7 linked regions of the Sus scrofa genome follow. The protein of the gene in region 1 binds, or shares a complex with, the protein of each later gene. Links are inferred from orthologs where the notes say so. Each region holds a gene or a part of one and is shown in the gene's direction. Other genes may lie near its edges.

Region 1 (4,056 bases):
GTTAAATTTCCACGTGCAAGTTGCTGGGAGCATAACGCACCACGCTACGTATTTGAAGACTTTCTCTTCAGAGCGAGGACAGACAAGTGCATGGGAAGGAAAAATGCTCCTTTGGGATTACTTTATGTTTTCATTGATAAGCCTACGTACACATATAAGATGCCTTAAAAAAAGTTATATCAACGTTATTTTTGGGGCAGGTGCAATCAACCTAAGCATTTATTGAGTACCTGCTGTGTACAGGGCACAGCGCTTCTGGAATGCGGCTAACCTTCACTTAAACTCTTTCCTAATTATGCAGTTTAAAGAAGTTGTGGGAATTACATTGACGGCCCGAAATCAAGGCAGAGAGGCTAACATGCTGAAAAATTACATAACTCTTGGGAGAGGCAGTGCTTTTGCACAGATTGCCCAAATATCTTCTTTCTCCGTCGGCTCCTCGTAACCTTTGAGGCCAACAGACAACTTTGTTCCCCAGCCCTTCTCCCTCTTTTGTCTGCTCGTCAGACTCGTTTTCCACCTTTGAATCGTTCCTTTTAGACGTGAAAACAAACACGCGAACGCCCGGTTGGCAAGGAGACGGAGGCACGAGGGGAAAGTGCAGCCTCCCGTCGCCCCACGCCGCCGCGCGCCCGGCGCCGGCCGAGCGGCCCGAGCCCCCGGCCCGGGGCCGCCGGTGCCCGCGAGGCTGCGCCCGGGCGGGCAGGCGGGCGGAGGGCGCCGCGGGCGGCGGCGGCCCGGGCCGAGTCCAGTCCGCGTTTTGCGAGTGCGCACGAGTAATCAGAGAGAAGTGGATAATAGTTGCTCGGGCTCGCTCGGCTCCCTCTCATGCCATGCTGGGCCCGATAGGCTCAGTGAGTCGTGTATTTACCCATATCCGGGTTAGAGAGGAAAAGAGAAAAGTTTCATTTAAACCTGAACTAAAAACTTTCACCATGAAATCACACAGCGGGAACAGGCCCAGACCGTAAGGCGTGACTCCCGGTTCGGCTCCGGCGGGGCCTGTGGAGGGGGAGGGGGCTCGCTCGATTCCCGTCGGGGCGTGTGGATGCGCACAGGAGGGGCCGCAGACTAAAAAGTGGGTTTTATTGTCTCCCCCCGCCCCCCGCCCGGCCTCGCCACGCCGCGGCGATCATGGCCGCGCGGGCAGCAGCGGCGGCGCGGGCGCGGGCGGGCAGCGGCGAGCGGCGGGCGCCCCCCGGGCCGCGGCCGGCGCTCGGGGCCCGGGACCTGGAGGCGGGGGCGCGCGGCGCGGCGGCGGCGGCGGCGGCACCGGGACCCATGCTGGGGGGCGGCGGCGACGGCGGCGGCCTGAATAATGTGCACCACCACCCCCTGCACCCCCGTCACGAACTGAACATGGCCCATAACGCGAGCGCGGCGGCCGCCGCCGCCAGCACTAACAGCGCCAAGAGCGGCGGCTCCGAGGCGGCTCTGAAGGAGGGTGGAAGCGCCGCCGCGCTGTCCTCCTCCTCCTCCGCGGCGGCGTCCTCCTCTTCCTCCTCGTTGGGCCCGGGCTCGGCCATGGAGACGGGGCTGCTCCCCAACCACAAACTGAAAACCGTTGGCGAAGCCCCCGCCGCACCGCCCCACCAGCAGCACCACCACCACCACCATGCCCACCACCACCACCACCATGCCCACCACCTCCACCACCACCACCACGCACTACAGCAGCAGCTAAACCAGTTCCAGCAGCAGCAGCAGCAACAGCAGCAGCAGCAGCAACATCCCATTTCCAACAACAACAGCCTCAGCGGCGCGGGCGGCGGCACGGCTCAGCCCGGTCCCGACATGGAGCAGCCGCAACATGGAGGCGCCAAGGACAGTGCCGCGGGCAGCCAGGCCGACCCCCCGGGCCAGCCTCTGCTGAGCAAGCCGGGCGACGAGGACGACGCGCCGCCCAAGATGGGGGAGCCGGCAGGCGGCCGCTACGAGCAGCCGGGCCTGGGCGCCCTGGGCGCGCAGCCGCCGCCGGTCGCTGTGCCCGGGGGCGGCAGCAGTGGCGGCGGCCCGGCGGCCGTCTCGGAGTTTAATAATTACTATGGCAGCGCTGCCCCTGCTAGCGGCGGCCCCGGCGGCCGCGCTGGGCCTTGCTTTGATCAACATGGCGGACAACAAAGCCCCGGGATGGGGATGATGCACTCCGCCTCAGCCACCGCCGGAGCCCCCAACAGCATGGACCCCCTGCAGAACTCCCACGAAGGGTACCCCAACAGCCAGTACAACCATTATCCGGGCTACAGCCGGCCCAGCGCGGGCGGCGGCGGCGGCGGCGGCGGTGGCGGAGGAGGAGGAGGAGGAGGAGGAGGAGGAGGAGGAGGAGGCAGCGGAGGAGGAGGAGGAGGAGGAGGAGCAGGAGCGGGAGCTGTGGCGGCGGCGGCCGCGGCGGCGGCAGCAGCAGCAGGAGGCGGCGGCGGCGGCTATGGGGGCTCGTCCTCGGGGTACGGGGTGCTGAGCTCCCCCCGGCAGCAGGGCGGCGGCATGATGATGGGCCCCGGGGGCGGCGGGGCCGCGAGCCTCAGCAAGGCGGCCGCCGGCGCGGCGGCGGGGGGCTTCCAGCGCTTCGCCGGGCAGAACCAGCACCCGTCGGGGGCCACCCCGACCCTCAACCAGCTGCTCACCTCGCCCAGCCCCATGATGAGGAGCTACGGCGGCAGCTACCCCGACTACAGCAGCCCCAGCGCGCCGCCGCCGCCGCCGCCGCCGTCGCAGCCCCAGTCCCAGGCGGCGGCGGCGGGGGCGGCGGCGGGCGGCCAGCAGGCGGCCGCGGGCATGGGCTTGGGCAAGGACATGGGCGCCCAGTACGCCGCTGCCAGCCCGGCCTGGGCGGCCGCGCAACAAAGGAGCCACCCGGCGATGAGCCCCGGCACCCCCGGCCCGACCATGGGCAGATCCCAGGTAACCCCCGCGCCGGTCGGGCCTGCTTCCGCCGCGGCGGCCTCGCGGCGCGCCGCGAGCCCTAGTTTCTTTCTTTCCGCGTACTTTTTCTGCGTCTTCTGTCGGGGGAGGCGGGGGCGAGACGCCCAAAGCCATTTTAACTCGCGGCTGCCTCCTTCCGAGGCCGGGCAGCGCGCGGGGTCCGACTGCGCGGCGCGGGGCCCGGGGCCTGGGGAGGGGGTCTGGCCGAGGCCCGGGACGGGCGCCGCGGTTGCCGGTCGCGCAGCACCCGCCCGGCCACCCCACCCCAGGCGCCGAGCCGCGCGTGCGGGAGTCGGGGACCGCGCCGCCGGGAAGCCGTGTGGGCGCCGGGGACCGTTCGGGCAGCTTTTTCAACAAAATAGGCGCTCCCGGCCGGTACGGTCGGGGAAGGAAGATTGACCCCCTCTTCTCGGTTAGCGCCAACAATGAGCTAGAACTGGGAAAAGAATGAGGAACTTTGTCCTACCTCCGGCCACACTACGTTCCCTCTTAGCTTATTAGGTGAAGGCAGGAAAAATAGGTTAGCTTTGTGGCAGCCGAGTGTGTTTCGTAGTTGTGCCCAGCCATTCGGAGATATCGGATGCGGGCTTTGAGTTTGTGTAGTAGCAAAAATAATACCCACGTTTACAGCGATGTGGAGGTAAAATATCCTAAAATAAATCGATTCATTCCTAAGAATAGCCGGGAAGTCCATTTTTTGGCTTGCAGGCTGCTCGAAAGGAGTCACCTTCAACAGATAGACTGTGTTGAAGGAACACATTCCGGCTAGATTGAACTTATTTTGATCGTGGATTCGGCATACATTTTATCCAGCGAATCCAGGGAAATAGCGGACCAGTGAAAATTGATCTTTTTGGATAGGATTTATTTGGATTTTAAATTTCCTGACACCCAAGAGCTGCAGCGTTGTTAGGAGGTGTCCTGCACTCTTGCTGTTTCTTGCTCGTAGGCTGAGCCTGAAGACTGACTTGATCTCCTTTGCAAGGTTTGGAATTTGAATTGTGGAGGTAAACTGGCTGTAATAGTCTCCAGACAGCTGCCTCTGAGTTGACATCTAATCTGCCATCTGATTGGCTCCCCTCTCACCATTGGGCATTTAGCACTGCTGATGTAAATAGAAGTGCTGAGCAGTAC
Region 2 (4,068 bases), on another chromosome or scaffold:
CCATTGTGCAAAGCCAGGGATTGAACCCGCAACCTCATGGTTCCTAGTCAGATTTGTTTCTGCTGCACCATGACGGGAACTCCCCTTGAGTGGCTTTGTAATGTTTCCTGCTTCCCTGCTTCTCCACTAAGCGGTGGTCACTTTTTCTGATCCTACTATGCCCCAGCCCCTGTCCTGCTACTGTCAGAACATAGGACAAAACTGGCTAAGAGGACTGACCAGTCCTAACTCTCCAAGGTCTCCTTGCCTTCATCCCAGCCTCTGGGAATCTTCTTCAGAGCTGCAGCCATCACAGCTGCAGTTTGTTAGATGGAACCACAGGAAATTGTCAGCAGGAGGCCGTTTTTGACCCACTGCACTGTTCCACCAGATACATGGATGCTTTGATGCAGGCCCCACTCTGGTTCTAAGCACCCCAGGGCAGGGCTGTATAATTTTAATGCACTGGGCTGGTGGAAGGCACAAAGCCCAGAGTTAAGGAAGGAACGGAGATGGTCTGTAGATGGTCCCCTCCCCTCCAACACTCATCCCAAGCACCAGGCAAGCCAACCGCCTGGGCTTTGGAATCCTGCCAAGCCCAGGAGCCTTCGTCCTCACCACCTCCATCTCTGAAGTTGCAGTAACAGCTGTGGGCCCAGAACTGGGTTATCTGTTCTGGGAACCCTCTCATCTGCTCAGCTGCACTGCGTTCTCCAGGTGGGGAAACGGAGTCACAGGTACTCCGGGCCCCTTCCCGGCTTTCAGGCCTCAATTTGCTTCTCCTCCCCTGGGCTGAGTTCCAGTCCCAGCGGTGAGACTGGGAAAGCCGCAGCCTGAGTCAGGGCCGCCGTTGTATTTCTGTCCATGAGAAGTGTCCCTTGGGGAGTTCCTTTCGTGGCCCAGGGGCAAGGAATCTGACTAGGAACCATGAGGTTGCCAGTTCAATCCCTGGACTCGCTCAGTGGGTTAAGGATCCGGTATTGCGTGAGCTGAGGTGTAAGTCGCAGACGCGGCTCAGATCCCGCGTTGCTGTGGCTCTGGTGTAGACCGGCAGCTGCAGCTCTAATTAGACTCCTAGCCTGGGAACCTCCATATGCCGCGGGTACGGCCCTAAAAAGACAAAAAAAACCAAAACAAAACACAAAAAAAGTGTTCCTTGATTCTGCCCCCAACCCGCCCCGCTTGCCTGGGAGGAAGGGACACAGGTTGAGGCTTCTTTAAGGGACCCGCGGGGGCGCGCCCCGACCTTTTGTTTAGGCGGCGGCGGCGGCGGCGCGCGCGTTAGCGTCAACGCCCGCGCCTGCGCAGTGAGGGCGGCCTAGTCTGCGGCGGTGGCGGAGAAGCCCGGCGGCGGCGCGAGCACTCGGTCCCGCCCGCCCTTCGCCTCTAACTCCGGCTTCCCTGGGCTTGGCGCGCTCCGGCCCTGCCTGACCCCTCCCAACACTCGCAGCCACGCCGGGCTTTGGCTGCCTGTCTCCGCCGCCGCAATGATGATGATGGCGCTGAGCAAGACTTTCGGGCAGAAGCCCGTCAAGTTCCAGTTGGAGGACGACGGCGAATTCTACATGATCGGCTCTGAGGTAGCCCACGGCGCATCCTCGTCCTCCGGGCCCCAGCCGGCCCTGCCCCTGCGGGAGCCTCGGGGCGGGCCTGCGCGGCGGGAATGCGCGTCTCCATTCATCGCGGCGGGCGGGCGGGCGCGGTGGGCGGGGCGTGGTCGGGCGAGGGGGTGATCGATCAGGTCCCGCCCCGCGCTCTACTGTGGTTTTACCCACCCGTGTCGCAGGGTCCAGGACGCGCCCGGATGCCGGGGCTGGGGCGTCCTGGTGGCCCCTGGTTCCATGATGAGTTCCAAAACTCCATCGGGAAGCACAGAAGCGGGGTTTTTAGTCGTCCCCTGCCACACCTTGGGGGGAAGATGTTGGACCCCCCCCACATGCATCCTTTCCCGTTGCTGCAACTGGGACCCTGAAATCGCAGGTTCGAAGCACCCAGCTTAGTGAGGACTCACCCGCACTGCGTTCATTGACTTCGAGGTGGGCAGGGAGGTGTTTTGACCTTTAATTAATGGTGAGGAAACAGGTTGGGAGGAAGATGCTTGCTTTTGGATGGATAAGGCTCCAGTTTGTGAGTTAGATCTATCAGCAGTTTCGGAAGCAGGTGACACTTTGAATGTCGTGGACTGACTTTTTTTTTAAAGAGCCTAACGATCTTTAATCCTTAGCTAAAGTGGCAGCAGTTCGTAGAGTCAGCTGGATGACTAACTTTAGGAAAACCCTACAACTGGTCCTTTATTGGTAGTTCATACAAAGTATATTAAGTTTTTCCAGATTGCCTCAAACTAATCCTTTTTGGCAGTCCCCAGTTAGTGTGTGTATACACACACTTACACGCATGTATTTTTAAATTATGCATATACAATTCAGATGTGCAACTACCAAGCAGTAGTGTCCCCCACATGTAAGGAGGTAAGTGGAAGTCCGGAGGTGTTAAAGCAGATAACAAATGCTGACGGTTTTCCATATTAAACATTTCATCCTTTTCTTTTCCCCCAGGCTGTACCTGCGCATGTAGAAGTTCCTAGGCTAGGGATTGAATTAGAACTGCAGCCACAGGCCTATGCCACAGCCACAGCAACACTAGATCCAAGTCTCGTCTTCGACCTACACCACAGCTCACCGCAGTGGTGGATCCTTTACCCACCGAGTGGGGCCAGGGATCGAGCCCGAAACCTCATGGATACTAGCTGGGTTTGTCATCGCTGAGCCACAAGGGGAACTCCCCCCCTTTTTTTTTTCTTCACAATGTTTGGGTTTTTTCCTTCACAGTTGAACATGGTGTGAATGAATTAAGTCTTATAATGGTCACACTGGGGCTTTCAGGACACCCTGTAATCCTTGGCTCCTCTGAGTTTTATTGAGTTATGAGACCATTGTTGTCAGTAGCAACAGAACTCTAGTGTTTCCATTTTTTACCAGTTTTTATAAAACACAAGGGACAGGATGTAATACATTTTCCCTGTCATCACAGAAATGCTACCCTTGAAAGCTAGCTGTGCTGGGGAGGAACCAGTCCCTGCCATAGCTCAGAATGGTCCTCATGGAGTGGTAGGTACCTGCTCAAATGTGGGATACAAAGGCAGGAGAGGAGTTTCAGTCTGTGATAATGAGCAGATTGTTTAAAGAAACCTTTATGTGATCTAATGGACAGGAAGAGCAGTCACTTTGGCCTTGGCTCTGAGTTGGAGATACACTTTTGAAAATCCAGGTTGCAGAAGTTTCCTGGTGGCCCAGCAGGTCAAGGATCCAGCATTGTCACTGCCATGGCTCTGGTTACAGCTGTGGCTCAGGTTCAATCCCTGACCTGGGAATTTCTGCATGCCATGGGTGGGGGAAAAAAAAAAAAAAAAAAAAAAAAAATCCAGCTTGCATTTATTATTAGGTGGAGCAAATTGAGAAGCAGCATATGGCTAGGTGGGCAGAACGTCAGGAGGCCTGGTTCTAGCTCTGCCTCCATGTCACTTTTCTCGTGGCTCTAAGGAGATGCTTAGATTAGATGATCTCTAAGATCTGAAAGCTAACTGCAGTCTTCTCTTTCAGCCCTGTTGAGTGAGAACATTTGCCCAGAGACACATTTTATAGAGACCAGATGGGAGAAAGGAGAGGCTGTGCTTTCAGGGGCCTGGCTTAGCAATCATCAGACCGTGGGAGTTCTGGGAAAGGTTCAAGATCAGAGTGCTGTCTCCAGATATCCAGTAGCTCCTCTGACAGCATTGAGTGGACAGCCTCCAGACCCCTTGCCCTTGACAAACAGGCACCATATTCAGCGAGACCGGCCAGCCTTAGCAGCACCCACTGTGCCCCCTCCCCAGTTGGGTGTGCAGCCTTGGGAGGGCATCTGCAATTGCAGTGAGTGTGTCGTCCCTCTCCTGTCATCTGGAGGCAGCTGTAATCACCAAACTGGAGTCACAACTGAGAGGACCCTAGGAAGTCCCCTTATCCACACCTTCACTTTGCATTTGGGAAACCGTGGTCCAGATGGCAAAGGCTGGTTCTGGGAAAACCCAACAAGGCAGAACCCTGATCTCAG
Region 3 (3,088 bases), on another chromosome or scaffold:
TGGCCCCGGGTAGCGGCTGGGTGTCTGCACGGGGGTGGGGGGATGGCCAGGGGGTTGGCCCACTGCATAGTCACGTGGGTAACGGTGTGGTGGTTGGGGCATCATGTGTAATGGGCTTGGGTCGCAGGGAACCAGAGCGTGGAGACCCCTCTGTGGAAGGCGGTTGCCATGGCATCGTGGCTGGGAGGCTGGGGTTGCCACGTGCCCGCGGTTCACAGGGCGGGCTGGCCATCCTGCTGTGGGTAATGGAATGCAGCTGCTCAGCGCAGTGGTTAACAGAATGTGGCTGCCCCGGTGTTGTGGGTGGTGGAAAGGGGTTGCCACAGCACTGTGGGTAATGGAATGCGGTTGCCATGGTGTTCTGGGGAGCAGAGTGTGGTTGCCATGGTGGCTGGGTAGGAGACTGGTGGCCACGGCAGCACTGCCTGAGGGACGGGCACTGGGCACCGGGGCTGGGTGGGGTCAGCCTGTGGGCCTTGTGAGCCAGGGGTAGGGGCTGAGCCATTTCACTTCCAGGGGTCAGTAGCCACCAGGGGCACAACGACCCCTAACCGCATCTCTGCCCCTCGGCCCCCAGGACACCCCTCGTGTTTACAGTTCACGGTGAACATGACGGCGGCCGTGCGAACCTACCGTTGGCAGTGCATCGAGTGCAAGTCCTGCAGCCTGTGTGGCACCTCCGAGAACGACGTGAGTGCCCACCCCCCTCCCCGGGACACGCCCCCGGAGCCGCCTCCCTCCAGCACCTCCGGCTTTGCCAGTTGGGTCTAAAGCCTTTCCTGAAGCCCCCTCCCTGGTGAACCCAGTAACCTGTACCATGATTATTAGTTAGTGTCCATTAGTTGAGCCTGGCACTTACTACTCTTCACTCTCCGACTCCTCCCAACCACCCTGAGGTAGAGGGAGGGAGCTCAGAGAGGGGAGCAGACTTGCCCAAGGTCACCCGGCTAAGAAGATGGCACAGCTGGGACCTGACACCGCATCCATTGCTTCTGACCGCCCCAGTGTCATTTTCAGTGTGCCATAGAACCTTAGAAAACCCAAACGACAAACCGCAAACTGACAGTCCTCAGGGGCGTTTCACTCACAGGGTTTTGCCAAGATGACCTCCTCAGAGCCCTCTGTCCTGGAAGGGACCACCTCCCCCAGCCCCTTTGACCTGTCCCCTGCCCCAGCCCCCCCACCCCGGTTTCTGGTACCCGTGCCCCCAGGGTGCCAGCTGGGCGGGTCTCACCCCCCAGGACCAGCTGCTGTTTTGTGACGACTGTGATCGGGGTTACCACATGTACTGCCTGAGTCCCCCCATGGCGGAGCCCCCAGAAGGTGAGCGAAGAGGAGGCCTGGGGGGGTGGGGGAGGGTTGGCAGGTGGACTTCCTGCTGGGGAAGATGGTGCCCGCCGGTGGTGGGCGGGGGTGGGGGCAGCCGTGCCCAGACCCAGGTCTTACTCCCTGTCCTCGGGCCACCCTACAGGGAGCTGGAGTTGTCACCTCTGTCTTCGGCACCTGAAAGAGAAGGCCTCTGCCTACATCACCCTCACCTAGGCCTGCTCTGGCTCACCTGGACCTCTGGGGTGGTGCTTGCCTACCTGAGTCTCCTCCCGGAGCTCCTCCACTCTCTCCCCATCCTTAATGCCCCACAGCGGGAGGGGCGGGCGAGCCTGAGGGGGGCGGGGCCACCCCCTCCCCTCCGTGCAAGTGGAATGCTTGCCCTGTGGGTTGGTGGGCCCAGCTGGGCCCTCTCCTTCCTCCCTCCTTCCCCACCCCTTGGCAAATGGGCACCAGGGGCTTCTGCTCCCCTCAAAGCCATACCCCGCCTCTGGGCGGGCACGAGGGGTGGTGGATGCCAGCTGGGGGCACGGACATAGCCTTTTTCTAAAGAAAAAGTCAAAAAGTTAAAAAAAAAAAAGAAATTAATATATACAAAGAGTCCTATAAGGCCTGGCTGGGTGGAGGGGGGTTGCCGAGCGCATCTCCTGGGCACCAGTCTATGCCAGCTTCCTGCCTGGCGGCCCCTCCCTCCCAGTCTGCGGCACTGCAGCTGTCCCACCTCCCCACCCAAGGTGGGCACCATTCCCTCCTTGTACGCAGGGCAGGTGGTGTGGTGTTGGCCCCCCACCCCCTTGGTGCCCACCGTGGATACTGCATGATGTGAACCATGGTTTTGAGCTCTGTTCCCGCTCCCTCCCCAGAGCCCGGCCCGTGCCCACTCCGTGCTGCCATGGCTGGCCGCCGGTGGGGCAAGGCGGGCCCCTGCCCAGCGCCTGCTGGAACGAGAAGCACAGACTCTGCAAAGGACTAGATTTTTCCCCGCCCCAATTCCCTACCGGCCAGGCCGGGCCGCCCCCTGCCACCCTCGCTGGCCATTTTCGGGGTCTCGAGGGGGCGTGGTTGTTTCTTGTGGTTGTGTTTGTTGTTTGGGTTTTAAAAAAAAGGGAAAATGAGACTGCAAGTGGGGGAGGTGATGGGTTTGGGGGGGTCTCCTCCAATCCAGGCGTGCCCCCTCCTTGTAAACGAGTCTCCTTTATTGCCTGCCTCTGCTGTGAATTAACTTGTTCTGTGTATTAAACTGGGCCTGACCCCTCTGCCCACGTCTGCCTCGTCCTCCAGGCCGGTTTGGGGCGTCACCAAAACTGGAGGTGGGGCCTCACTGGGGGAGAAGCAACTGAGGTTAACAGCTGGAGCTGGCCCCTACCTCTGGCTCCCCTCTGCACCCCGCCTTTCTCTGGCTTTGTCCCGCTCCTCCCTGCCTGGTCGGAAAGGAAAAGAGGGGGGGATGGGGTGGAGGGGGCTCCCACCCAGCCAGCTGTGGTTGCCCTGGCAACGGACTGCTGCAGCTGCAGTGGGAAGCAGCGAGGAGGGAGGCGGGAAGCCGGGGACTGGGGGAAGGGAAGGGATGGAAAGATGAAGACTGAGCCCGGCCCCGCTCCTCCCCTCCTGGGGCTTGGCACAGGGCAGGGGTGCCAGGAGCGCCACGGCCTCGGCCCACTCATGGCCTGGCGCCCCTGAGCCTGACGTGTGGCAAAGAGGAGAGGGGAAGGGGCAAAGGAGAGAAAGACAGATCCAGGGACATTAGGAGAAAAAAAGATTT
Region 4 (2,476 bases), on another chromosome or scaffold:
GGCTTCACTGACAGGCTCAATCGAGAACTTTCCCAGAAGACTCCACCGGTAGGAGCCCATGCGTGGCCAGGGCCTTGGACTCCAGTCCTGGCTTAGTCCTTCAGGACTGAGTCCTTCCTCCTTCCCACGCGTGGAGGGAGTGTTCTGGCCACCAGAGCAGATGGCTGCCTGCTGTGGCTTCCCAGTGCTCCCCACCCCCAGCCCTGACCCTTCCCAGAACCCAGGTGTCGGCTTCCCCCAGCCCCTCTTTCCCCTCAGAGCATGAGACTGAAGCTCATCGCCAGCAACAGCACCATGGAGCGCAAGTTCAGCCCCTGGATTGGTGGCTCCATCCTGGCCTCACTGGTGAGAGGGAAGGGCTTGGCCTAGCACCGAATGTGGGGAAGGGGCAGATCCAGACGGCCCCTGCCGCCTTGCCTGCCTCCTCATTCATTCATTCAACAAGCATTTATTTTGATGAAAGGGAAGTCAGTGCTCCTGGAAAGGCGGATGCGACATCAGGACACAAATCTGGGAGCGGAGGAGAGGAAGCTGGAGAGGCTGGCTGGGATGAGGTCATAGTGGTCTTATAGGCCAGGGCGGGACACTGACTGCTTGGAGAAAGATGGTGTGACTGCCACAGGCACGTTTGGGAAGATTATGTCAGACATGAGTCTTTGGAGATCAGGGTAAGAGCTGGACGCAAGGGGACTTTGCCAGCAGGCTCTTTCTGTAGTCCCGGGTAGTAGTGTGGATGGGGTAGCGAGAAAGGGGCAAACAGGAGGAGGCAGGCAGGAGTTCCCGCTGTGGCACAGCAGGATCAGGGGTGTCTCTGGAGCATTGGGATGCAGGTTCAATCCCTGGCGCGGCACAGTGGGTTAAGGATCCAGCATTGCCACAGCTGCAGTGTAGGTCACAAATGGCTTAGATCTGACCTCCGGCCCAGGAACTCTAAATGCCGCGGGATAGCCAAAAAATTAAAAAAAAAAAGAAGAAGAAGAAGAAGGCAGTAGGCAGATTGGTTCCAGAGCAGAGAGCTGCAGATGCAAACTGTATCTGAGGAGTGTCAGCCACACAGAGAGGAGAGCAAGGTGATGACAGGACAAGGAGGACACCCACTGGAGGGGGTGCCCCCAAAGAGATAGAAGCAAGGGTCAGAACAACAGGAGGCTGACGGTCTGAAATTAACTCAGAGCTGGGAGCATGCCAGTCACCAGTTGCCCCAGGCCTCCCGTGTGCCTGAAGTGGACAGACGTCTGGACCTAGTCCCTGCCTCCATGAGTGGGGACAGTCTGGAAGCCGAGACAAGCAGGAGGTCGCCACAAAGTGTTGGGAGTTCCTAAGGAGTTCCCCTCGTGGCTCAGTGGTTAACAAATCCGACTAGGAACCATGAGGTTTCGGGTCCGATCCCTGCCCTTGCTCAGTGGGTTAAGGATCCGGTGTTGCTGTGAGCTGTGGTGTAGGTTGCAGATGTGGCTCGGATCCCACATTGCTGTGGCTCTGGCGTAGGCTGGTGGCTACAGCTCCGATTTGACCCCTAGCCTGGGAACCTCCATATGCCGTGGGAGCAGCCCTAGAAAAGGCAAAAAAGACAAACAAACAAACAAACAAACAAACAAAAAAACCAAAGTGTTGGGAGTTCTGTCAAAGGAGGACCTGATGTGGCTCAGGGATCATGAAGGACCTCTGAGGACCCTTCAAGCTGAAATGAGTAAGAACTCATGAGACAAAGCGGGAGAGAGGGTGCATGGCCCATGGGGAAGCCAGGCAAAGCCAAAGGCCATGGGCAGATGCTGTGGGATCTGAGTTTGGGAAGCTCGCTTGGGCTGCAGAGCGGAGAGTGGACTGGAGAGGCTACTGTGGTCTCTACTGTGACCTGGATTTGACAGAGGAGCGGATACTGGGGGGGTGGAACTGGCAGCTTCTCAGAGTTCGGACTGACAGAATGTGGACACTCTTTGGATGTGCAAGGTAAGAAGGAGAGGGTCAAGGGTGAGGCCCAGGATGCTGGCTCCTGGCAGTGCTGTCCAACAGGAGTGTAATGGGAGCCACGTATGTCATTTCAAAAATTTTAGTAGCCATTTTTTAAAAACAGTCCAAAAAATAAGAATATATTGTATTTGGGGGGAGTTCCCGTCGTGGCTCAGTGGTTAACGAATCCGACTAGGAACCATGAGGTTACGGGTTCGGTCCCTGCCCTTGCTCAGTGGGTTAATGATCCGGTGTTGCCGTGAGCTGTGGTGTAGGTTGCAGACGCGGCTTGAATTTGGTGTTGCTGTGGCTCTGGCGTAGGCCAGTGGCTACAGTTCCAATTCGACCCCTAGCCTGGGAACCTCCATATGTCGTGGGAGCAGCCCAAAGAAATAGCAAAAAGACAAAAAAAAAAAAAAGAATATATCATATTTGGGGAGCTCTCATTGTGGCTCAGCAGGTTAAGACTCTGACTAGTTCATTATTAAATAAAAAAAATAAAAGACTCTGACTAGTACCCATGAGG
Region 5 (4,007 bases), on another chromosome or scaffold:
TTCACCCCTCCCCCACTATCTTAGCTATTTGACCTCATTAAACAACTTTGGATAGTAGCCAGATTTCTGTATGCTAACGAGGCCCCTATTCATGATTTAGTGCGATTTCATCCACCCTGAGCTGCCTGGCTCCTCAGTGGAAGCCTGGCTTCACAGAAGTCTCTCAGTTTTGTCAGGGCTTCGCCAGTGAGGAGTTCGCACGGACTTGAAGCAGACACATTCTCTGAACGCCTCAGGTCACATCTGATTATTCATTAGCAAATTCTTTTCACCTTTTTATCTAATCAATGAAAGGTGACGCCGGAATCGCGTATGCTACTCCCCGAAAGGGACTCTGGCAACACCCATCTAGGTTCCACAACTTTGTCTCGTTACTCTTTCCGAAGAGCAGAAAGCGTTTGCAAAAGTTCTCTTAAACCACCCCTCCCCTAAGCCTAAAGGTCAGAGCGCCAGGCCCCAGTTGGCTCTCCAGCTCTCTGACCATTTAATTTCCGAAGTTTCTGGTTTGTGCGAGGACAGAGGAGGTGGCAGTGGGCAATTGCCTGAGTGACCACCGCGTATTAAGTAAGGAAAGCCTGGCTGCTGGAGGGAACGAGCCTGACATTGAGACATTCCAGGGGGAGGGGAGTTGCTGTCCTGGAGTCGCCAGGAACGGCGGCACCAGTTCCAAGAAATCAGAGGAAGGTGGCCGAGATAAAGACAACACTTCAGGAATGAGAATATTAAAAAGCCGCAGGACCCAGAGCATTAGTAAGCGGCAGGACACGTGTAGTAATTAGACGAAACGGCACCCTTCCAATTTTTGCACTGGAACGAGGGGAATTGTCCTTTGGGGGATTAAAAACGTAACAGTAAAGCCAAAAGCTAATGAATAGGGTTCAACGGTTTGCTTGCAATACTTAAATATTTTCTGTCCAGGACTTAAATATTTCTGTCCAGGAGCGCAACTCTCTGCAGTTGTTTAGAAAGTAAGGATTCAAACCAAACTAGAATACTCTCGTGCGTCTCCACTTTCCCTCATCCGAAAAGGAGCTCTACGCGCGGTACTGCCCCTTTAAGACCTGCTTGCTCTCGGGCTCTACAAAAGGGAGTGACCTCTGGGCTTTGACAGCTCCCCTAATAACTACCACCGTGCAGGCCCCGCCCACCTGGCGACCAGCCGCGCCGATTGGCCAGCGGGCCGGTATCCCGTGCTCTGATTGGCTCGCCGCTTCCCCTGAGCGAACCTTTAGAACTCTGAGACAGACAATATTCTGTTACATTGTAGCAAAATGGCGACTGTCATTCACAACCCCCTGAAAGCGTAAGTAAGACTAAAAAATGTACATTTTCCTCGTGGTTTCAATATGAAAAAAAAGGCGCCTTCTGCGTGCCGAGCGCTGCCAATGCACTGCGCTTGCAGGCGCCTACAGCCGCGGTGGGGCTTCTCTCTTTTCTTTCAGCTCTTACTTCTTCATTTTTTTTTTTTTTTTAACCCGGGCGCGCAGAAATGTCAGGAGAGGCAATTAAGAAGAGGAAAATTGGTACATTTGTGTTCTTCTAAATTGGCGGACTGAGGGAGAGGGGTTACTGGCAGGGGAGCCAGGCGCTCGAGTGCTCTACAGCGAGGGGATCCTGGGCAGCTCAGGGACAGCACGGTCCCCAGAGTGCCCAGCTTCTCCGGGCGGTGAGCGCGGCGCGGGGGGCGGCTCAGCTGGGGGCGAGAGCCAGGCTGGGGCCGCCTGGGTGCACTTGGCTGAGCCCGGTGCTTCTGGAGCCCGCAGCCCCCGCCCCGATGCTAGGTCGGCGGGGGTGAGCGGACCGCTGCAGCTCCGGAGTTTTCAGGGCGCTCTCCGCCTTCTGATCGCTTGCGGGGAGTTTGTGCAAACCTTCCGGAGTTGGGAGGACCGCAGGGGGAGCACCGGGTCCCGGGAGCCCTGGGGCCCAGGTGGTTGCCCGGGGCTTTCCTGACGGGGCAGCCCCCAGAGCTTGACTGCGCTTCGGGCGGTCGCCGGTGTGTCTCCGGGTGTTGTTTGTGGGGAACTGCCTGTAATAAATTAACGACTCGGGTTAACTTGGGGTTGATTTGGAGACTGGGAAGCTGCAGGTCTTATGAATGGTGTTCTTGCCTCCTCTGGGTGAATAGTCGAGGCTGGCGAGAGGCAGCCTGGGGCTCCCCGCCCGAGCGGGTAGCGTCTGCTCTCGGCCAGAGCTAGGGGCAGGTGCCTCTGGCCACAGCCGGGAGACTTTGAACGGACGCCCAGATCCGGGACGGAGGGGGGGCGGGCTGGGCGAGGACACGCGGGGGCCAGTCCCCAGGTCCGACAGCCAATTCCTGCCCGCCTTCCTTCCCCCTCCTTTTTATCCTGGCTTCCTTCCTTCCTTCCAATCCGTGGAACTGTTAAGCCGCCAAGTCCGCTAGCGATCGCGGAGCCGGGGGTGGCTTCGGAAAACTAGCGTCGCTCTAAAAGGGGTGCTCTTGGCAGTAATGTTGGCAGAGGGGCACTCCCTCCGGATCGCAGCGCGACGTGGGTGGGGGCTTGCACCCCTGGGATTATGACTTCGCAGCTAGGCTGGAAGCCGCGGGCAAGGGGAGGGGGAGGTGCGGGGGAGGGCATTTCATGGCGAATTCTCTCGCCAGTGCCTGGAGGATGCCCACCTAGGTTCTTTCAACTCAGCGCATCCACGTTCGCACCCGAGGCTCCTCTTGGAGTTGAAAGCCACGTTCGCACTGGGGGAGGGGGGCGGCAGGGGAGTTCTTAACACGAAGGAACTCGCGGGGAGAATGGGACGTGTTTGCACCAGCTTATCTCCTATCGGTAGTAGGAGAAAAGGTTAGGAATGTCCCAGATCTTGGAGTTTTAAATGTATAAATATGTATTAACCCTAAGAGGACATTGGGAGCTGAGGCTGATTAGAGAGCAGCTCTCGGCTTCAGTTCTCGCTTGGAAGCTCTGATACACTACACTTGAACGCTACAGCGTTTCACCCAAGATAGAAAATGTTTTATGGCAGAATAAATGGGCGTAACTTCACCGCATCCTCTCTCCCGGTCCCTCGCGCTGCTACACCGCTGATGCTGTGAGTTTTTACCGAACCCACAGCTGATTTGCAGTTTTCACATTTCCAGCCCAAATCGCGTAGCCGAGCTGATGCCACCTGGTAAACTCAAGTTAGAGGATCTATTTCACATGTGTGCCAGGTTTGTTTCCTTTTGGGAAAGCAGTACCCTAGTTACCCCTGGGCCCGTTTATACGCTGGCGGGGGCAATATCTCTACGCTCTTTAGCTCTTTACTACCGGCTCCGGTTTTTTGTTTTTTGTTTTTGGACAGCAGAAGACTACATGTTTGGGGAGGGTATCTGTATAGGGTGGGGTTAGAAGTGGGGGAAGGGAGAGAGAAGCAGGCTGGTTATTGGAATTAGTTCTGAATTATTACACTTGTACTTTGTATAATTAGAAACAGTTGCAATGCCATGTATTTGTAATTTTGTGTCGTCACACACACCTACATCTTAGCATACCCTTGACATCCAGCCTGCTTTTTCTAGGTGGGAGTTGAGTGGTCATTTATAATTAGCTGCTCCTTTTTGCATCTTGACCCCTTTCCCTGGGGATAAGGAGGTATAAACAATACCCCTACCAGCCCAGCCTTCTGTGCCTTGGACGGCTTTTAAAGTTCTAGCGCAGGGGCACGCACGTTGTTACCGGGAGATCTACATCATCGGCCTTTATTTTTAAAAACACTTTGTTTAATAGATCATCTTGTATATTTCATTTGTTTTTAAAAGTTGCTTATCAGGAAACAATACACACATGAATAAATTATGCATGGGATAAATTAGAACAAAGCGCAGAGACACTTCAGGCCGAAGGGATAGATGGCGGTGCTGGGAGGAGGGGAGCAGGGAGAAAGGTTTGGAGAGCTATGTTTTTATCCTCACGTGTCCCTCCTGACAATGAAACGGGGCTGAACGACATTAGCATTTTCTCTGCGTGCCTTCTGAGTCTCTCTCTCCTTTCCCTTAA
Region 6 (3,130 bases), on another chromosome or scaffold:
CTTAGCCAGTGTATCCTATGTGGGATGATGAAATGGCTGCCCCAGTGTTCCCTGGATGCCTTGTAGGCCCACTTGTTAGACCAGTGAGGGCCCTGGCTCCTTGGTAATTAAGAGTTAACCTTGTTCCACGCTCCCAGTTACGGTTACTGGTGACCTGATTTCCAGATCATCTTGTTTTTTCCAGATTATGATGATGGCTTTTCAATGAAGCATACAGCCACTGCCCGTTTCCAGAGAAACCACCGCCTCATCAGTGAAATCCTCAGTGAGAGTGTGGTGCCAGACGTCCGGTCTGTTGTCACAACAGCTAGAATGCAGGTCCTCAAACGACAGGTCCAGTCCTTAATGGTTCATCAGGTAAAGTCACAGACCATTTGGTACAATAAAATGTGCCTAGGCCACAGGTGCCAGGCGACCTGATTCTGTACCATGCGTCCGTGTGCCTCTTAAATTTATGTTCAGTCTGACCTGTTCCTGATTCGGGGAAGAGGCTTGAGGGAGTAGCTAAGTTTCCCAGAGATTTAATAAGTTTGTCATTAAAACGGTGACAGAGCCTTTTGGCAGAGAAAGTATTTGCATTAAGAATTTTGAGACATCCTAATAACTTCTACGGCTGTCATAAATATTTTTTTCCATAGAAATCCCTGAGGCCAGAAACCATATGCCTCAACATGTACCTCTCAGTCGTTCCTCTCCACTGCATTTCACACTTTTTAAACCTTAGCTGGACACATGTGATAAATAATTTAAATGAAAAATTCAAAACATCTATCCCACTATGAGAAAGTATGGACTCTTAAAAAAAGAAGATTTTCTGTGTTTGATATTTGCTCTCGAGAAGATACTCGGTAGTAACAAAGCCTGGTCATATGTTTTACAGCGAAAGCTGGAAGCTGAACTTCTTCAAATAGAGGAGCGACATCAGGAAAAGAAGAGGAAATTCCTGGAAAGCACAGATTCATTTAATAATGAACTTAAAAGGGTATCAGTTTTAATATGTTAATTATGCTTTTATCACTGTGTTTTTTCCGAAAAGAGTGTTTTTAAGGAACGTTGTTCACTTTGAAACAGTGTTAACTTTGCTATAACTGGTAAGATGTTTGCACGGTAAAATAATTCCCATTTTCTGGCAAAACTACAATATGTTTGAAATATCATGTAGTGTACACGTATGTACTGGGCCTTGGACTCTAGAACCCTCTGATGTTTTAATGTACACTCAGGCAGTCATAAATTATTTTCATTTTTTTTGCAATTTTTTCATTAAAGGTCTTCATTAGCTGTAGTTCACAATTTGTACTTTTTTTTTTGTCTTTTCTAGGGCTGTACCCACAACATATGGAGGTTCCCAGGCTAGGGGTCTAATCGGAGCTGTTGCTGCCTGGCCTACACCACAGCCACAGCAACGCAGGATCCGAGCCGCGTCTATGACCTACATCACAGCTCACGGCAGCACTGGATCCTTAACCCGCTGAGCGAGGCCAGGGATTGAACCTGCAACCTCATGTTCCTAGTCGGATTCATTAACCACTGAGCCACGACGGGAACTCCGTACTTTGTTTTAAGACATTAAAAGTAATGTTTGGCAGCCTGAAATATAAAATGGGAGGTTTGTATATAAAACAGTACTTTTTGGGGGTTGGTTTTTTTGTTGGTCTTTTTAGGGCCGCACCCACAGCATATGGAAGTTCCCAGGCTAGGGGTCGAATCGGAGCTGCAGCTGCTGGCCTACACCACAGCCACAGCAACTCGGGATCCAAGCCACATCTGCCACCTACACTGAAGCGCCTGGCAATGCCGGATCCTTAACCCACTGACCAAGGCCAGGGAACAAACCTGTGTCCTCATGGATGTTGGATTTGTTTCCACTGAGCCACAGCAGGAACTCCCTCTCCTGTGATCCTTGATGTCACATGGCTGCGAGGGCAACTTTTTCTGCAGACCTGAGAGCTTCAGAGAAGACCTCCAGCTTCTTTTTTTCTGCCTTATACGTGTGTACAGTTCTTAGCCAAGGAAACTCACTTTTGAGACAGTGTCTCTGGTTCAGAGATTATGAGGAAAGAACATCACTAAGAGAGCTTCTTGGGTTTTGTTTTCTATTAGTTGTGTGGTTTGAAAGTAGAAGTGGATATGGAAAAAATTGCAGCTGAAATTGCACAGGCCGAGGAACAGGCTCGCAAAAGGCAGGAGGAAAGGGAGAAAGAGGCAGCCGAGCAAGCCGAGCGCAGCCAGAGCAGTATCGTTCCTGAGGAAGAGCAAGCAGCTAATAAGACGGAAGAAAAGAAGGAAGACGAAAGCATGCCAGTGGAGACAGGTAACCTGCCAGGTCACACCACCATGAAGGTCAACCCAGGGTCTCTCCCGCTGTCTTTAATTCCGCTTTCCCTTTCTCGGTGCTGCTCGGACATCGCTCTGTTAATCTTGCCTCTTGAGTTCTTCTCCATCTGACCCTCCCACTTCTTTGCACATCTTAACCTCTCACAGTAGATTCACTTAAACCGATGGTTTTGGTTCAAAACAGCAGTGATGTGTTGTCTTTAGTGTTGCTGTTTGAGGTCTTTGCCTGGATTGATTCGTGTCATTCCCTGGCTTGAGAATATGAAGCGTGATGCTATAAACGGTTAAGGATACAGACAGATCTAGGTCTACTGCTGCTGCACCACTGCTAGCACTGTGACTTTGGGGAAATTATTTAGTCTTAGTTTCCTCATTTCTGAGCATTCTAGCTCCTGTATCTGAGAGAATTCTAAAGGATAAATAAGAAAATGTACATAAAAGCATATAACTGGATTTGATGTGGTGTAAACACTCAAGATTTTAACCTTTTTGCGGAAGTTATTCAAACAAGATGTGGTCATTGCTCTTAAGTCATCTTTGGTGTCTTAGAACAGGCTTGGGCAAATAAAACCTGCAGCCAAATCCTGCCTGCCACCTGTTTTTGTAAATTAAGTTTTGTTGGAATCATTTGTTTACATATTGTCTGTGGCTGCTCTGGGGCTACAGCAGTAGAGTTGGGTAGTTTCGGCAGAGACTGCCTGGCCCACAAAACCCAAAATATATTGACTAGCCTTCGCAGTAAGCAGTAAGTGTTTGTTGACTCCCTCCTGGAGGAATTCAGACTTCCAGATCT
Region 7 (3,500 bases), on another chromosome or scaffold:
GCCCACAACTCAGGAGACGGACGGGTTCCAGGTGAAGAGGCCGGGGGACCTGAGCGTGCGCTGCACGCTGCTCCTCATGCTGGACTACCAGGTCCGTGCCCCCAGACACCCCAGCCCCCTCCCGGGACAGGGTGACCAGACAGGGGGGCCCCAGGCTCCTCACACCTCCCACCCCCGCTCCGAAAGCATGTTTCCACGGAGCCCGACCACCACATCCCCCCCCTACGTCCCAAGCTGCCTGGCCCTGCGCTCCCTCCACGCCCGCCTTTGTCTAACTTGCATGGTCACCTTTCCCCAGCCCCCCCAGTTCAAACTGGATCCCCGCCTGGCCCGGCTGCTGGGGCTGCACACGCAGAGCCGCTCAGCCATTGTCCAGGCCCTGTGGCAGTACGTGAAGACCAACAGGCTGCAGGACTCTCACGACAAGGAGTACATCAACGGGGACAAGTATTTCCAGCAGGTACCCTCTCTCTCGAACCCAGGGCCACGGGGAGCAGGCAGTTTCCGGGAGGGGAAGTGCCTCCACTAAGGTAACAGCACCTCTCCCCTCCTGACTGCATCAGAAACGGTAAACAGTCCTGGTCCGGCTGCCAGAGCCAGAGTCCAGGCTCTTCCTCGCCCCGCTCCGTGCCACAGCCGTCTTAGCCCACCCAGGCTGGGGAATCGGAGCCCTGCGAATCCAGCAGCTTTGGGGAGCATATCCTTGGTACTTGGAGTGAGGATCCCCAGGTTCCAGTCTTGGCTCCGGACTCTGGATAAATGACTTTGCTATTTTGAGCCTTATTCCTTCTCTTACAGTAAGGAGGGTGCTGACAAACTGCTGTGGAAGTGACCTGACAAAATTCTACCAAAGTGGAGATGATCATTAACAATAATTTTTATTTATTTATTTTAAATTTTATTTATTTATTTTTATATTTTTACTTTTTAGGGCACCCACAGCATATGGAGGTTCCCAGGCTAGGGGTCAAATCAGAGCTATAGCCGCCGGCCTACACCACAGCCACAGCAACGCAGGATCCGAGCCGCATCTGCAACCTGCACCACAGCTCACGGCAATGCCAGATCCTTAACCCACTGAGCAAGGCCGGGGATCGAACCTGCAACCTCATGGTTCCTAGTCAGATTTGTTCCCGCGGTGCCTTGATGGGAACCCCAACAATAATTTTTAAAGAAAAACAGCAGATAAACCTGAGTGGTAAAAATAAAGTCAGTGTTTATTGAGCACTTACCATGTGCCAGGCACTGGTCCGAGCCCGTTATGTGTGCTGACTCTAACCTCACAGCCACCCCGTGAGATGGGCGCTATTATCATCCCCTTTCTAGAGATGAAGCAACTGAGGCCCGAGGTGTTGGGTAAGTTGCTCAGCTGCACAGGAAGTGGTGGAAGCAGGATTTCTACCCAGGCCAGCAGCCCAGGCCTTGGCGCTGTCAACCATGCGCTGCATGGACCCGCCCCACTGGCAGCCCCTGCCCAGCCCCGTGGGCTCTGGCTTCCCCAGGCCTTTTCAGAAGGGAATGTGTGCTCTTCCAAACATGCGGCACGAGTGATCTCTCTCTCCTACTTCAGATTTTTGATTGTCCCCGGCTGAAGTTTTCTGAGATCCCCCAGCGCCTCACAGCTCTGCTGTTGCCCCCTGACCCCATTGTCATCAACCACGTCATCAGGTGAGGCCCCAGTTCGCTCTCAGAACAGGGAGTCATTGTGGGGGCGGGGGGGGGGGCTGGCCTCTCAGTCCCTCCCGCTGCCTCCCACTCGGGGCCCCTTCCCTCCCCTTGGCCTCTGTGGGGCAGCAAGGACACCAAGGGCTGGACTTCCCTGGCAGCGTGGACCCGTCGGACCAGAAGAAGACAGCGTGCTACGACATTGACGTGGAGGTAGAGGAGCCACTGAAGGGACAGATGAGCAGCTTCCTCCTGTCCACAGCCAACCAGCAGGAGATCAGCGCTCTGGACAGTAAGGTGGGGCCAGAGCCCAGAGCTGGAGTGGGACATCAACCCCAAAATGACACAAGCACAGACAAAACAGACGAGAACACGGGCCTATGGAGAGAAGAAGGGGAGGTGGGCCTTGCCTTGCTACTTGGAGCTCCGCCCATCCCCCCTTCCCTGGGACTGCAGAGGCCCAGTCCAGCCCCAGGGGACCTGAGGGACAGCCCTTCAAAGGAACAGCAGCAAACCCCTCCCCCCGCCTCCCTTCCCCCTCCCATCCTCGCCCACATCAGCAAGGCCAGGTGAAAGCATCTGTCTTTCTACCTGTAGATCCACGAGACGATTGAATCCATAAACCAGCTCAAGATCCAGAGGGACTTCATGCTAAGCTTCTCCAGAGACCCCAAAGGCTACATCCAAGACCTCCTCCGCTCCCAGAGCCGGGACCTCAAGGTGAAGGGGACTCAGGGAGCACTGGATGGAAGACAAGCACATTGGGAAGACAGTAAACGTTGTGCCCAGGGGCTGGAGGGGATCCGGGCTCAGGGCTGACCCGCTGCTCCCTCCCAGGTGATGACAGACGTGGCAGGCAACCCTGAGGAGGAGCGGCGGGCTGAGTTCTACCACCAGCCCTGGTCCCAGGAAGCTGTCAGCCGCTACTTCTACTGCAAGGTGAGGAGGGCCCAGGACACCTCCAGCCGCACCCTCCCCCACTCCCTGCTCAGCCTCTACAGCCACTCCACCCTCCCCGTCACCACGCAGGGGAGGCTCCCTGCTCCCCCTGCGCCTCCAGGGCCGGGGGTGGGGGGGGTGGTCCTGTCACTCACCGGGAACACGGTAACCCGGCTCCTGCTCCCCTCTCTAAAGATCCAGCAGCGCAGGCAGGAGCTGGAGCAGTCGCTGGTTGTGCGCAACACCTAGGAGCCCTGGGCACGAGCGCTGCTGTGGGCCCCTGGGCCCCTGCCCTGTCACCTCGGGCACTGCCGTCACTCCTGATGCCTTGCGGCCGAGGTGGGGACCGGATTAAAGGTCATTCATCTGATGGCACTCGTGTGGTCACTGGCAACTGGGGAGGGAGGAGGAAGGGGCAGGCCGTGGGTCCCTCTGGGCAGTTCCTCACCCCTCCCGCAGAGCCGCCTCACTCCATTTGCCCTAGACCTAAAAACGGTTTGGCAGAAGACACTTTTAATAACATTTTCTTATTAAAAAAAATACAGCAACAAGCTCTCCATCTGTCCGTCCATCTCGCCTGGCCTTCCTGGGGCTGAGGCCGGAAAGGGAACTAGGTGGCTGGCGGTGGCGGGGCCCCGGGGTGGACTAGGTGCTGTTGGCCTGCTCCTGCTCAAACAGAGCCATGGCGAGCTGGGCGCGCCCCCCCAGCCCCTCCAGGTTGCTGAGGCGGCAGCGGTGGTAGAGTTCCTCGCTGAGCCGAGGGCTGCAGTCACGCAGGGAGAACTTCTGCACCAGCCCTGGCTCCACGGCCCGGAAAAGGTGGAGCCCTGAGAACCGGAGGAAAACATCCATCACCTCCAGCCCCTCCAGGGCTTCCTCCTCTTCCTGGCCTGCCA

Evidence for each region.
Region 2: ARID1B (region 1) and SMARCB1 share a complex: the UniProt entries of both Homo sapiens proteins name them as parts of the neuron-specific chromatin remodeling complex. The link is inferred for Sus scrofa from reciprocal best matches to the Homo sapiens genes ARID1B and SMARCB1.
Region 3: ARID1B (region 1) and DPF1 share a complex: the UniProt entries of both Homo sapiens proteins name them as parts of the neuron-specific chromatin remodeling complex. The link is inferred for Sus scrofa from reciprocal best matches to the Homo sapiens genes ARID1B and DPF1.
Region 4: ARID1B (region 1) and ACTL6B share a complex: the UniProt entries of both Homo sapiens proteins name them as parts of the neuron-specific chromatin remodeling complex. The link is inferred for Sus scrofa from reciprocal best matches to the Homo sapiens genes ARID1B and ACTL6B.
Region 5: ARID1B (region 1) and DPF3 share a complex: the UniProt entries of both Homo sapiens proteins name them as parts of the neuron-specific chromatin remodeling complex. The link is inferred for Sus scrofa from reciprocal best matches to the Homo sapiens genes ARID1B and DPF3.
Region 6: ARID1B (region 1) and SMARCE1 share a complex: the UniProt entries of both Homo sapiens proteins name them as parts of the neuron-specific chromatin remodeling complex. The link is inferred for Sus scrofa from reciprocal best matches to the Homo sapiens genes ARID1B and SMARCE1.
Region 7: ARID1B (region 1) and SMARCD3 share a complex: the UniProt entries of both Homo sapiens proteins name them as parts of the neuron-specific chromatin remodeling complex. The link is inferred for Sus scrofa from reciprocal best matches to the Homo sapiens genes ARID1B and SMARCD3.

What each region holds. Positions count from the first base shown.
Region 1 is NC_010443.5:10,224,581-10,228,636, reverse strand, and holds the start of ARID1B (AT-rich interactive domain-containing protein 1B), read left to right. Parts: upstream 1-1,256; 5' UTR 1,257-1,281; coding exon 1,282-2,901; intron 2,902-4,056. UniProt on the Homo sapiens protein: Involved in transcriptional activation and repression of select genes by chromatin remodeling (alteration of DNA-nucleosome topology).
Region 2 is NC_010456.5:49,903,244-49,907,311, reverse strand, and holds the start of SMARCB1 (SWI/SNF-related matrix-associated actin-dependent regulator of chromatin subfamily B member 1), read left to right. Parts: upstream 1-1,268; 5' UTR 1,269-1,466; coding exon 1,467-1,559; intron 1,560-4,068.
Region 3 is NC_010448.4:47,141,506-47,144,593, reverse strand, and holds the end of DPF1 (zinc finger protein neuro-d4), read left to right. Parts: intron 1-577; coding exon 578-690; intron 691-1,211; coding exon 1,212-1,323; intron 1,324-1,471; coding exon 1,472-1,542; 3' UTR 1,543-2,588; downstream 2,589-3,088. UniProt on the Homo sapiens protein: May have an important role in developing neurons by participating in regulation of cell survival, possibly as a neurospecific transcription factor. Belongs to the neuron-specific chromatin remodeling complex (nBAF complex).
Region 4 is NC_010445.4:8,556,299-8,558,774, reverse strand, and holds part of ACTL6B (actin-like protein 6B), read left to right. Parts: coding exon 1-48; intron 49-258; coding exon 259-345; intron 346-2,476. UniProt on the Homo sapiens protein: Involved in transcriptional activation and repression of select genes by chromatin remodeling (alteration of DNA-nucleosome topology).
Region 5 is NC_010449.5:96,251,555-96,255,561, reverse strand, and holds the start of DPF3 (zinc finger protein DPF3), read left to right. Parts: upstream 1-1,207; 5' UTR 1,208-1,271; coding exon 1,272-1,303; intron 1,304-1,456; exon of another isoform or gene 1,457-2,026; intron 2,027-2,638; exon of another isoform or gene 2,639-2,724; intron 2,725-4,007. UniProt on the Homo sapiens protein: Belongs to the neuron-specific chromatin remodeling complex (nBAF complex).
Region 6 is NC_010454.4:21,801,410-21,804,539, forward strand, and holds part of SMARCE1 (SWI/SNF-related matrix-associated actin-dependent regulator of chromatin subfamily E member 1), read left to right. Parts: intron 1-184; coding exon 185-357; intron 358-880; coding exon 881-982; intron 983-2,103; coding exon 2,104-2,314; intron 2,315-3,130. UniProt on the Homo sapiens protein: Involved in transcriptional activation and repression of select genes by chromatin remodeling (alteration of DNA-nucleosome topology).
Region 7 is NC_010460.4:5,985,966-5,989,465, forward strand, and holds the end of SMARCD3 (SWI/SNF-related matrix-associated actin-dependent regulator of chromatin subfamily D member 3), read left to right. Parts: coding exon 1-91; intron 92-298; coding exon 299-460; intron 461-1,570; coding exon 1,571-1,668; intron 1,669-1,826; coding exon 1,827-2,064; intron 2,065-2,262; coding exon 2,263-2,385; intron 2,386-2,502; coding exon 2,503-2,604; intron 2,605-2,799; coding exon 2,800-2,853; 3' UTR 2,854-3,155; downstream 3,156-3,500. UniProt on the Homo sapiens protein: Involved in transcriptional activation and repression of select genes by chromatin remodeling (alteration of DNA-nucleosome topology).